Callithrix jacchus: one gene and its partners. The protein of the gene in region 1 interacts with the protein of each later gene in a pairwise test. Links are inferred from orthologs where the notes say so. Each region holds a gene or a part of one and is shown in the gene's direction. Other genes may lie near its edges. The genes, in order: LDOC1, LATS1 and POLL.

The links.
Region 2: the proteins of LDOC1 (region 1) and LATS1 interact in a two-hybrid assay, tested with the Homo sapiens proteins (2 studies listed by BioGRID and IntAct). The two-hybrid records come from large-scale screens. The link is inferred for Callithrix jacchus from reciprocal best matches to the Homo sapiens genes LDOC1 and LATS1.
Region 3: the proteins of LDOC1 (region 1) and POLL interact in a two-hybrid assay, tested with the Homo sapiens proteins (2 studies listed by BioGRID and IntAct). The two-hybrid records come from large-scale screens. The link is inferred for Callithrix jacchus from reciprocal best matches to the Homo sapiens genes LDOC1 and POLL.

The regions. Positions count from the first base shown.
Region 1 is NC_133524.1:138,057,616-138,061,147, forward strand, and holds LDOC1 (protein LDOC1), read left to right. Parts: upstream 1-1,499; 5' UTR 1,500-1,629; coding exon 1,630-2,067; 3' UTR 2,068-2,904; downstream 2,905-3,532. UniProt on the Homo sapiens protein: May have an important role in the development and/or progression of some cancers.
Region 2 is NC_133505.1:156,496,314-156,500,062, reverse strand, and holds the start of LATS1 (serine/threonine-protein kinase LATS1), read left to right. Parts: upstream 1-1,095; 5' UTR 1,096-1,326; exon of another isoform or gene 1,327-1,672; intron 1,673-3,749. UniProt on the Homo sapiens protein: Negative regulator of YAP1 in the Hippo signaling pathway that plays a pivotal role in organ size control and tumor suppression by restricting proliferation and promoting apoptosis.
Region 3 is NC_133513.1:94,543,087-94,546,835, reverse strand, and holds the start of POLL (DNA polymerase lambda), read left to right. Parts: upstream 1-1,037; 5' UTR 1,038-1,113; coding exon 1,114-1,259; exon of another isoform or gene 1,260-1,481; intron 1,482-1,851; exon of another isoform or gene 1,852-1,869; coding exon of another isoform or gene 1,870-1,895; coding exon 1,896-2,056; intron 2,057-3,437; coding exon 3,438-3,732; intron 3,733-3,749. Other genes in the region: protein DPCD, read right to left, coding at 886-949.

The DNA.
Region 1 (3,532 bases):
TAGGGATACAGCAGGTAGCAAAGGCAGTGTTTCTTTGACACATATATTGCAAAATAGAAGCAGATGATGAGCAAAGTGCTATTTGACATGTTGGCCAGTAGCACAGTAAATGTTATGTAGATAAATGAAGCAGAGTCAAGGGTTAGAGATTGGTGGCAGAGAACAGGGTTCTCTGATAGGTCCGGTGGCCAGAAAAGTTCTCTTTGAAAGCAGTAGGTGAAGGAGTCAGGCAGCCAACTGGGACAAGTCTTGCAAGGCAGAAGGGGTAGAAGGTGCAAAGGCTACAAAGCCAGAACTACTTGACGTGTGTGAGAATCAGCAAGGACAGTGATTAGAGCATAGCAGAAAATGGGAAGAGGCATAGGATAGAAGGAAGGGCTTTGTAGACCTTGGCTGCAACTTTGCTCTTTATTCTGAGATGAAACTTGGATGATTTTGAGCAAGGGAGTGAAGGGATCTAATTTTTGTTTTAAATGATTCCCGTGGCTACTTTATGGAGAATATACTATAGGTAGAAAAAAGCGAAAGCTAAGTGATTAGTTGCAGCAGTGTGTGAGAAAGAAAGGCTGGGTGGGGATCAGGGTGGCAGTGGTAGAAATGGCAAGACATGATTGAATTGGCAATATATTTGAAAGCAGAGCCAATAATTCATGATAGCTCTAGGATCAGAGATCCATTTAAAGTAGAAAAAGAAAATTATTTATAAACACTCACATCTTCACAGTTCATTTTTAAGTAGAGAATAATACCCAGTGGCCAATGGCACTAGTAGCAGAACAAGAAATAGAGAATAAAATGTGTGGGATGCCTGCAATTGGTTATCGGATGCTGATTTTGCAGAACTTTTTATATCTTGCTATTTAGGTTTTTTTTTTTTTTAAGGTAGGTATATCATATTATTTCCCAATTAAATAAGTCACTGTTTAAATACTGCCTTTTTCATGAAAGGCAGGACCCCCTGAGGGTCTTCATGACCCTGAAAGGAAGTGTGACTTCCACAGTGCAGCCAGCAGTGTCAATACTTCGCTAAGTGAGATTTAAACAAGAAAGAAAATGTGTTAATAAAACATCGCGCCAAGAGAATTTAGTGGCCACAGACCCACGAAGGAACACTGAGTTGTGCGAGTTGGCTAGGTAGAAGAGTGGTTAATCTTTTCAGCTTGAACAAGTGTACCTTCTCTGAGACCGGATTCAGCGCTCGCCAGGTCCTCTGCTAATTCAGGCCCCACATCCAGGAGCTCTGACAGCCGACCGCAGCCTTTAACTGCCCGCCTAGAGGGCTACGACAAGCCGGTGGTTCAGCAACCCAGCGCATCCTAGTCCTAGCCAAGCCCTGTGTGTCTACACTCTTCCCATCCCGGCCACGCCCCCACGCTTCCGCGGCCCCTCGCCTGGCCACGCCCCTCCCGCGCCGCGCCGGCGCACCGTCCGTCCGAAAGGCCGCGTGGGCGGGGCTTGCGTAGCCTCCCGGACTCCGGCGCGCACCGCACCGCCCCCCCGCCCCCCGCCCCTGGCCCTCGCGCGCCTTGGTGGACAAGCACTTCCTGCGAGGCCTCCGTACGCACCTTGTCCGAGCCGAGCCGCACCGAGCCGCACCGAGCCGAGCCCTGTACTTCCAAGCCGTTCGCCATGGTGGATGAGCTGGTGCTGCTGCTGCATGCGCTCCTGATGCGGCACCGCGCCCTGAGCATCGAGAACAGCCAGCTCATGGAACAGCTGCGGCTGCTGGTGTGCGAGAGGGCCAGCCTGCTGCGCCAGGTACGTCCGCCAAGCTGCCCGGTGCCCTTCCCCGAAACGTTTAATGGCGAGAGTTCCCGGCTCCCCGAGTTTATCGTGCAGACGGCGTCTTACATGCTCGTGAACGAGAACCGATTCTGCAACGACGCCATGAAGGTGGCATTCCTAATCAGCCTCCTCACCGGGGAAGCCGAGGAGTGGGTGGTGCCCTACATCGAGATGGATAGCCCCATCCTAGGTGATTACCGGGCCTTCCTCGATGAGATGAAACAGTGCTTTGGCTGGGATGACGATGAAGACGACGACGACGACGAAGAGGATGATTACTAGGCCTTAGACCCTCAGGCCTAGCGGGGAGGGCCCTGCACGCCGCCACCCCCTCTCTCCAGCCCTCACCCCGCCGGGAGCCACTGTTCTCCGCCTTGCCCTCTGGTCCCCTTCCCTACTCGCGCCCTTCAGTTCTCTCTCTTCGTTTCTCCGTAGTGCTTGTCTTTGTTCCAGGAATAGTGCTCCATTTACCTGCTGCTGGGGTTGGGGCTGAAGCCTCACTCACTCGGAAATGCTTGGAAGTGTCATCTACCCTGGCCAGCCCCTGAATCCCTCCCCTGCTAATCCGAACTGTGTCCTGAGCCCCAGTTATTGGCCATGCCCCCATTATAAATTGGTCATACCACCCATAGCCCTGCTGCTGCCACCTACCCTACTGCCAGGCTTACATCTGCCCAGAGAACTATGCTGCCACTTCACATCCACTCACCACATCCCACCTACATACTACCGCCTTTCGAAGTAAGGACCAACCTGGAAGATGCCAGAGTTGGCTATACCTCTTCGGACATTGATTCGGACAGCTCACCAACCCATGAAGGGGCCAATCATTCAGCCTGGTTAGTTTTCTACCCACTCTGAGGGTCCTCCCATGCCCCACCAGATTGCTGCAGGGGCTTGGTGTGCCTGGCAGCCAAATTGTTGACATTTCTTTTTTCCTATGCATTGGTTTTACACAGCTGTCACTTTACTTTCAAAATTGCAGCAGTCCCCCAGATGTGTGCATTTGGACAAATAATACTAAGAACAAAGCAAGCACTCAGCCCAGCTCCTCAATACTACCTGGAAAAAGCATTGGCATTATTTTCAATAAATATCAAGCACTACAAAAAAAAGAAATGATTGTCTTTTAATGGTTAAGTGCTGTCACTGGCCTCCAACACTGTCACTCTGTCTACCATTATTCCCATGGAAATCAGGGTTCCCCGCTGTCATCTCCAGGCTGTTGGCGACAGCTACCTCAGGGCTCTGTCAGTGTTCTGATGTTCCCTTCACCAATGTATTTCATAAAGCCCTGGCAAAGGGTATGTCCTCTGGTTCCTCCAGAATGGCATGGGTAAGGCTTGGCTGAGCAGATGGCAAAGAGGCAGTATTAATAATTAGACCATAACAACAGTCATAAACCTGGAAGAGGGGGGAGAGAGAGAGAGAGAGATGTAATGCTCCCAATTATCTGAGCTTTCAGATTCCTTAACACTGTACCAGGGAAGTTCTGCCCCTTAATCCTTATTGCCTATGTGTAGCTGCTGAGTTCAGGCTCCAAATAGCCAACATAGTATATTGCTTTTATGTCACTCTCAGATGCTCCAGCTAACATTAAATCCTGGATCCTGGGCACGTGTACCCATAAAGATAAACCCTGATCTTAACAAATATTTCTGCAGGGCGCGGTGGCTCAAGCCTCTAATCCCAGCACTTTGGGAGGACGAGGCGGGTGGATCACGAGGTCAAAAGATCAAGACCATCT
Region 2 (3,749 bases), on another chromosome or scaffold:
TCACTGCAACCTCTACCTCCTTGATTCAAGAGATTCTCCTGCCTCAGCCTCCCGAGTAGCTGGGACTACAGGTGTGCACCACCATGCCCAACTAATTTTTGTATTTTTAGTAGAGACGGGGTTTCACTGTGTTGGCCATGCTGGTCTTGAACTCCTGACTTTGTGATCCGCCTGCCTGGCCTCCCAAAGTGCTGGGATTACAAGCGTGAGCCACCATGGCCAGCGGAACATAATCTTTTAACAGGTTTTCACATTTGGATTTCTGAATACAGTAAGCAGCCAGTTATTACTTTAACATCAGAAAAAGACGTCTGTAATTTTTTTGTAGTCTATAGTAGAAAAATTACGAAAGAAGTTACTTGAAAACACTATATTTTCTAGAGGAAAAACTGGCAAAGGCACTCTTCACAAAGGGTGGACAGTACCTTACACATCAAACCCAGTGATCCCATCCCAGATTTTCTATTCAACTTTACTAGAAGTAAAACCTCTTGTCTTGTCACACCGTCACCGTTATTCCAGTTAGGCAATAACGACCTCCTCCTACGGATGCAGTTGACAGGTCAGATCTCTAAACTCTGCTAATCGGTCCTGGCTCAAGAACTTCTTCTTGGCTGATTCAGAAAATACAGATGCTGGAACCTCATGGGCTTGTTCGGGGAAAGAACGCTAAGCAAGAATAAAATTTTATTTCAAAGCGCCAAAACTCGAATTTTGAGGTCCACAGCGAAGTTTCCCAGAACAACTCAACAGTTGTTCCCTTCGGAGAACGAAGCTCCGTGAAATGCGCATCCCTACTCGGTCCAGAGAAAGAGATCAATGGGAAAAAGGATTCAATCAACCGAGTGGGCTGGGCAGGAGAGAGCCTTAACCCACGGCCGCGGGCGAGTCTTCTGGGCAGGGCAGGCGGGAGCGACGTGGGGCGACGCTCACGAAGGCTCTGAGCGGCGGGCCACGCAACGAGGCCCAGAGGCCTCGGTTGCGCGCTCCCTAGCTGCTGCCGGGCGGGCAGAAGCCCCCAGTCTTCGGCCCCCGCGCAAGCGACGCCGGGAAATGCCCACATCCGGGAAACCTGCAACGGAGTGCGGCGGCGGCGACATTGAGTGGAAGGCAAAATGGCGGCGGCGGCAGTGGCCTGGTGTTAAGGGGAGAGCCAGGTCCTCGGGACCCCCGCGACGGGCCACAGTGGCCCGCGGCAGCCCTCCGGCGTCTCTACCCGCTCTGCCCCACCAGGGATACTTGGGGTTGCTGGGACGGGCTCCGGCCGTCTAGGCGCCCGCCCTCGGGCCGGTGGCCGCTGTCCAGGAGCTCTCCTTTCCCCTCCAGGTAGGTCCGGGGCTGGCGTAGCGGGTGGGGCTCACTTCTCCCGAGCTGGAGTTGGCGGGGCGGTGGCCGCTGGGGCCCACGCCCATCCCCGCTGGCGGGGGTCCAGAGGTTGCTGTGGACTGGCGGGCCGCGGCGGCCCGCTCCGGGCCTGACTGGGCTGGTTGCATTGACCTGAGCTGAGCCCTGCCCTGGGGAAGCGAGGGTTGGCCGCGCCCGGTGCTGCAGGAAGAGCCCCGGGCATTTCGGCCTCGGAAGTGCACGTTGGGCAGGGAAGAGCCTACCTTGCTGGCGGCCTTGCGCCGACTGTCTCCCACCCCACCCCCAAACGCGGGTCGGCGGTGTCCACAGGGAAGGAACGGGAAAGGTGGTTCTGAAGGAAATTTGCAGTGAAAGAGCTACAGTTTTTTGAATCCCAGAGGGCTCTGATCCTGGGTGTATCTTGAAGAAATCCTGGGAGTCTCTTATTTCTAGTTCAATGTGATAAAGGTTACTGTTCATAGTTGGAAATGGTGGGAGAGGTGGAGAGGTCTTTACGGAGTAGGGGTGTGTATATAAATACAGAAAATGAAGGAACGACAATTTAGGGAACAGCGTTTTTTATAACCTGAAAGGGCTTGTAGCTCAATGAATGACTTCCAGATGACTTAATCCCCATTCTGACTTCTCTGTCAATTTCTAATGGAACATAATTTAATGTTTGTCAACTCATATGTTAATACAACTTATAAAACATATATCATCCTCCAGAAGTTATTCATAAATCTTGTGAACAGTAAGTATAGTCTCCTGCACAGAAATAATACTGTATAACTCCAGTTTTGGAAATGAATTTGAATGTTAGTGATCATGAAGCTTGTCAGACCTTTACGAATTGTTTATTGAAGGTTAAAAATTTTTATCCATTTTCCTTCATGAGGAAGAAAAGGTAGGACATTATAGTTGGAATGAATGTTCTCTGCTACGAAAACAAAGCTTATCTCTGATGGTAAAATGGGGTAGTTGATTCCCTAAGGCAGTGGAAGAGTTTGAACAGTGAAAGAAGTAGCATTGTGTTAGTTCCATTGGCTGCTACTGCAAGAAACTAGATCATGGTCCATTCCTGGAACAGCACATTCTGTGCCTAAATATTGATTGAATATGACTTGTTGCTCTCCAAAAACAAGTAAAAAAAATTTTTTTGGCTGTATTTTAAATGTATAATATCTGGCTTTCATTGTGTAGGTCGTTTTTATTTTTGTTTTTATTGCTAGTCCTTGTTATGCTGTATACATAGTCTTGGAATGGTTCTAACTCTGGTTATTTATTCTAGATGTTTTATTTATATTAGTGGGAGATTGTTATACATCACAAAAGTTAGTCATTGAATAACATTTCCACCAAGTAGAAGCAGCAGTCCTTTTTCAGCATTTTTCACTTTTGATCCCACAATTATTAGAAAGTGAACAGAAGAAAATGTCAGTATCCAGTTTCCTGAATATCGCTGTTTATACGAATGAGACTATGCTGCTAAAAAAAGAAACAGCACATATTATTGTTGCTGTCCTTATTACTGATCTGGTCAAAGCTATGACATAGTCATCTTTTTTTTTTTTTAAATGGGGACTCGCTATGTTGCCTGTGCTGGATTCCAACTCCTGGGCTTGAACAGTCCTCCCACCACAGCCTCTCAAGTAGCTGGGACTACAGGCGCACTACTGCACCCAGCTAGGGTACCTTTCTGATAAACTTAATTCAACCCAATCTTATGTAATGGTACCTGTTTTTTTCCAAAGTTGGACAAACTAATGGATGATACTTGTTTGTCGTTTGTATTTTTGATGAGGGTCTGAACTTTAAAAAATAATAATAAGGCCAGGCGTGGTGGCTCAAGCCTGTAATCCCAGCACTTTGGGAGGCCGAGGCGGATGGATCATGAGGTCAAGAGATCGAGACCTTCCTGGTCAACATGATGAAACCTCATCTCTACTAAAAATACAAAAAAAATTAGCTGGGTATGGTGGCGCGTGCCTGTAATCCCAGCTACTCAGGAGGCTGAGGCAGGAGAATTGCCTGAACCCAGGAGGCGGAGGTTGCGGTGAGCCGAGATCGCACCATTGCACTTCAGCCTGGATAACAAGAGTGAAACTCCGTCTCAAAAAAAAAATAGAGATTTGTCATACCCAGGCAGTTTGATTCCAGAGCTCTTACTTTTAACGATTAGGTTAAAAATCATTGAAAGTTACGGAGTAGCTGGGCATGGTGGCTCACGCCTGTAATCCCAGCACTTTGGGAGGCCGAGGCAGGCAGATCACAAGGTCAGAAGATTGAGATCATCCTGGCCAATACAGTGAAACCCTGTCTTTAAAAAAAAAAAAAAAGATGGTGAAACATCTCTACTAAAAATACAAAAAAATAGCTGTGTATAATGGTGTGTGCCTGTAATC
Region 3 (3,749 bases), on another chromosome or scaffold:
TACCTGTGAATGTGAATCACCTGCTGTTATCTTCGAAACCTCAGGAACTTCAGACCCAATTCAACCTGGCTCCCCAGTGGGTCCAGAAAGGACCCAAGTGCACAGAGGGGCGACATCGGCCAATCCTAGGGTGGCAAAAAGTTAGGTATCCATGCCCCTGTGCCCACCTCTTCCAGGCACAGCCCTTGGTCCTTGCTCTAGCTCTCCTAAAGACACAGAAAACATTAAGAGGTTCACTTTAGGCCGGGAGTAGTGGCTCACGCCTGTAATCCAAGCACTTTGGAGGCCAAGACGGGCGGATCACCTGAGGTCGGGAGTTCAATACCAGACTGACCAACATGGTGAAACCCCGTCTTTAAAAAAAAAAAAAGACGTTCACTTTACAAAAATATTACAGCTGGAAAGGGCCTCAGTGGTAGCCCATCCACTTCATTTTACAGACGATGAAAGTGAGGTCCAAACAAATTAAAGGGCTGAAGAGCCCGTGGTGAATTAATGGCAGAGTCGGAACTACAGCCCAGGCCTCTTTCCTCTCTAAAGTCTGAAGCATTCTTGGAGTTCAGTTTCCTCTTCTGTAAAACGGGGTGAAAAATTAACCTCTCAGGACAGTGGTGAGGAGCAAATGAGATAATGAATGTGAAAGAAATTATTATATTAGCAACAAACTCAAAGCAGAGCGAGTTGGTGTAGAGGAATCTAATCGGTGTCCGGAGACCTGTGTTCCAGTCACGTCATCTCTGAGCCTCAGTCTCCTCATCTACAAATGCAGGGACCTGGCCCAGCTGACTGCCGAGACCCTTTCAGCTCTGCAGACCCTGAGGCCTTTCCTGTGGGGTGGACCCTGGGGGGAAAAAACGAGGGAGCTCGCGAGGGCTCTCGAGTTACCATCCTGCAGCAGCGCAGTCTTCTCGGCCGTCCGCAGACTCTCCAACCATCCCGTCACCGCCATCTTTCCTCTGCCAAGCAGCGCGCCCGGCCGCTGCCATGGCAACCGTTCCACTGAGGGTCACTTCCGGCTGACTCGGAAGCTATTCTGGGCATTTGCTCGCTTTTCCCCCTTCGTCCGCTCTCATTGGCTCTCCTGGTAAGTGATTTATTCCTGCCCACCTGCGAATGATCAGCTTGGCCAGTTGTCTAACCCACCCGGGGACCGACTTCGGGGGTTGGAGAGGGACTCTTGGAGCCTGGGTCGGGCGCTGCAGCTTTCCTCTAGCCCGGAGCTGGGATTCCCCGGCCTGCGCCAGCTGCGTACGCGTCGGGTACAGCACACCTGCCCGGGTCTTCTCCATCCCCAGCTGCGAGACTGAGACTCCTCCAATCCGGAGGGTGCCTCACACCTGCTGCGGCCGTGCCCTATCTCCCCGCAGCTGTGGGGCTGAGCACCCCCGTGCCGAGAGGCTGAGACCAGGGCAGGTGCAGGGCGTTCCCACTCACCCCCGAAAGTCCCCCTCCTTAGGTTTTCCTCTGCAACTGTGTTGAAGGTAGAGAAAGATTATGTGGGGTTTATGGTGCAGGTTCTCCCCAGTCTCCGCTCCACTCCCTAGCCCAGTATCCCATTTTGGTAAAGCCCTTCAGAAGGGGGCTGCAGCAGTAGGGCTGTGCTGAATCTTTAGAGCAACCCCAGTGAGGAATGGTGTTGTTTCCTGCTCCTCAAAAGTACCCCCAATGGTCCCAGTCTTCTCATTTCCCCCTAATACTCCGAAAGACTAATACTTTGAAAGGCTGGGGAGTGGGAAGCTAGGCTACACCAGTGAAGTTTAATGGGGTTTGAGGAGACCCCCCCCCAGCACTGTCTCCCCGAACTGGGCTGCTATCCCTAAGGCCTAGTCAGGGAACACCCTACCTCCACAGGCAAATAGGTTGGAGAGCATGAATTTTGAATTTCCACATGACAGCTGCCCTGGTCAACCCTCTGACAGACCGAGATCTAGCCGTACTTCAATGGATCCCAGGGGTATCTTGAAGGCATTTCCCAAGCGGAAGAAAATTCATGCCGATGCATCATCAAAAGTACTTGCAAAGATTCCCAGGAGGGAAGAGGGAGAAGAAGCAGAAGGTGAGTTAACCGACCCTCAGAACCCTCATTCCCTTGAACCCTCAGCCTTCATGTGCTTCAGCCCTACGTTGTTCATGTCCAGAATCAGATATTGGAGCTGACTTTGCCTGTCCAGGGCTTGCAGGTCTGTTTGTACCTGCTTTGTACTAAGCTTGGTCCTGGGTCTTGGACAGGCCATTTGCTGTGTTATCTTCTTTTCTACCCAAAGACCTCTATAAATCAGAAAGGACTCCCTGGACTCTCAGGGAATGACCAGTAGAATTTTTGCCTTGGGGGACAAGCAGAAATCCCCTCCATTACCCAGGTTTGATGTTAGTTGTTTTGCAGGCAAATTGACAAATAAATGGCAGAGGCTTTGGGGACAGGATTGTCAGGTCTGGCAGACTGTAAGGGCAAGAAACATGTAATGGCAAGAAATATGTGCTTTGTTGAAAGAATAAATGGTAAGGGATTCAAAGTAAGGAGGGAAGCGGAGTGTGGCGGCTCATGCATGTAATCCCAGCACTTTGGGAGGCTGAGGCAGGCAGATCACCCGAGCTCAGGAGTGTGAGACCAGCCTGGGCAACATGGCAAAATCCCGTCTCTGCTAAAAATACAAAAAATTAGCCAGGTATGGTGGCACACACCTGTAATCCCAGCTACTTGGGAGGCCAAGGCACGAGAATTGCTTGAACCTGGAAGATGGAGGTTGCAGTGAGCTGAGATCATGCTACTGCATGCACTCCTGCCTGGGCGACAGAGTGAGCCTATCTCAAAAAAAACAAAAACAAACAAAGTAAGACGGGAGGAGGCATTAATTCAACAGATATTTGCAGGTTACTTACAATGTGCCAGACACTTCTAGGTTGCACCAGGAAACAGGATGTATCCTTGTCCCGGGTGGGCGAGGTGGCTCATGCCTGTAATCCCAATACTTTGGAAGATCAAGGTGGGCAGATCATGAGGTCAAGAGATCGAGACCACCCTGGCCAACATGGTGAAACCCCGTCTCTACTAAAAATACAAAAATTAGCTAGGCATGGTGGTGCATGCCTGTAATCCCAGCTACTCGGGAGGCTGAGGCAGGAGAATCACTTGAACCCAGGAGGCGGAGGTTGCACTGAGCTGAGATCACACCATTGCATTCCAGGCTGGGCAACAGAGTGAGACTCCATCTCAAAAAAAAAAAATTTTTTTTTTTGTCTCTTACATTCAAGTGCTGGCCTGTGAGAAAATTTGCTATATGTAGAAGGGAAACTGGATGGAAGGGAAATGCTTATTTTCAGGGTAGGAGACTGTAAACACTTCATTCAGATCATGTTAGATGTTATGTTGTAGCCAGGGGGTGGCAGATAAAAATAAAAATGTTACGACAGTAGTCATCTGGATATTCCTTCCACAGAGTGGCTGAGCTCCCTTCGGGCCCATGTTGTACGCACTGGCATTGGACGAGCACGGGCAGAACTCTTTGAGAAGCAGATTGTCCAGCATGGTGGCCAGCTATGCCCTGCCCAGGCCCCAGGTGTCACTCACATTGTGGTGGATGATGGCATGGACTATGAGCGGGCCCTCCGCCTTCTTAGATTACCCCAGCTGCCCCAGGGTGCTCAACTGGTGAAGTCAGCCTGGCTGAGCTTGTGCCTTCAGGAGAGGAGGCTGGTGGATGTAGCTGGATTCAGCATCTTCATCCCTAGTAGGTGGGCTGATCCCAGTC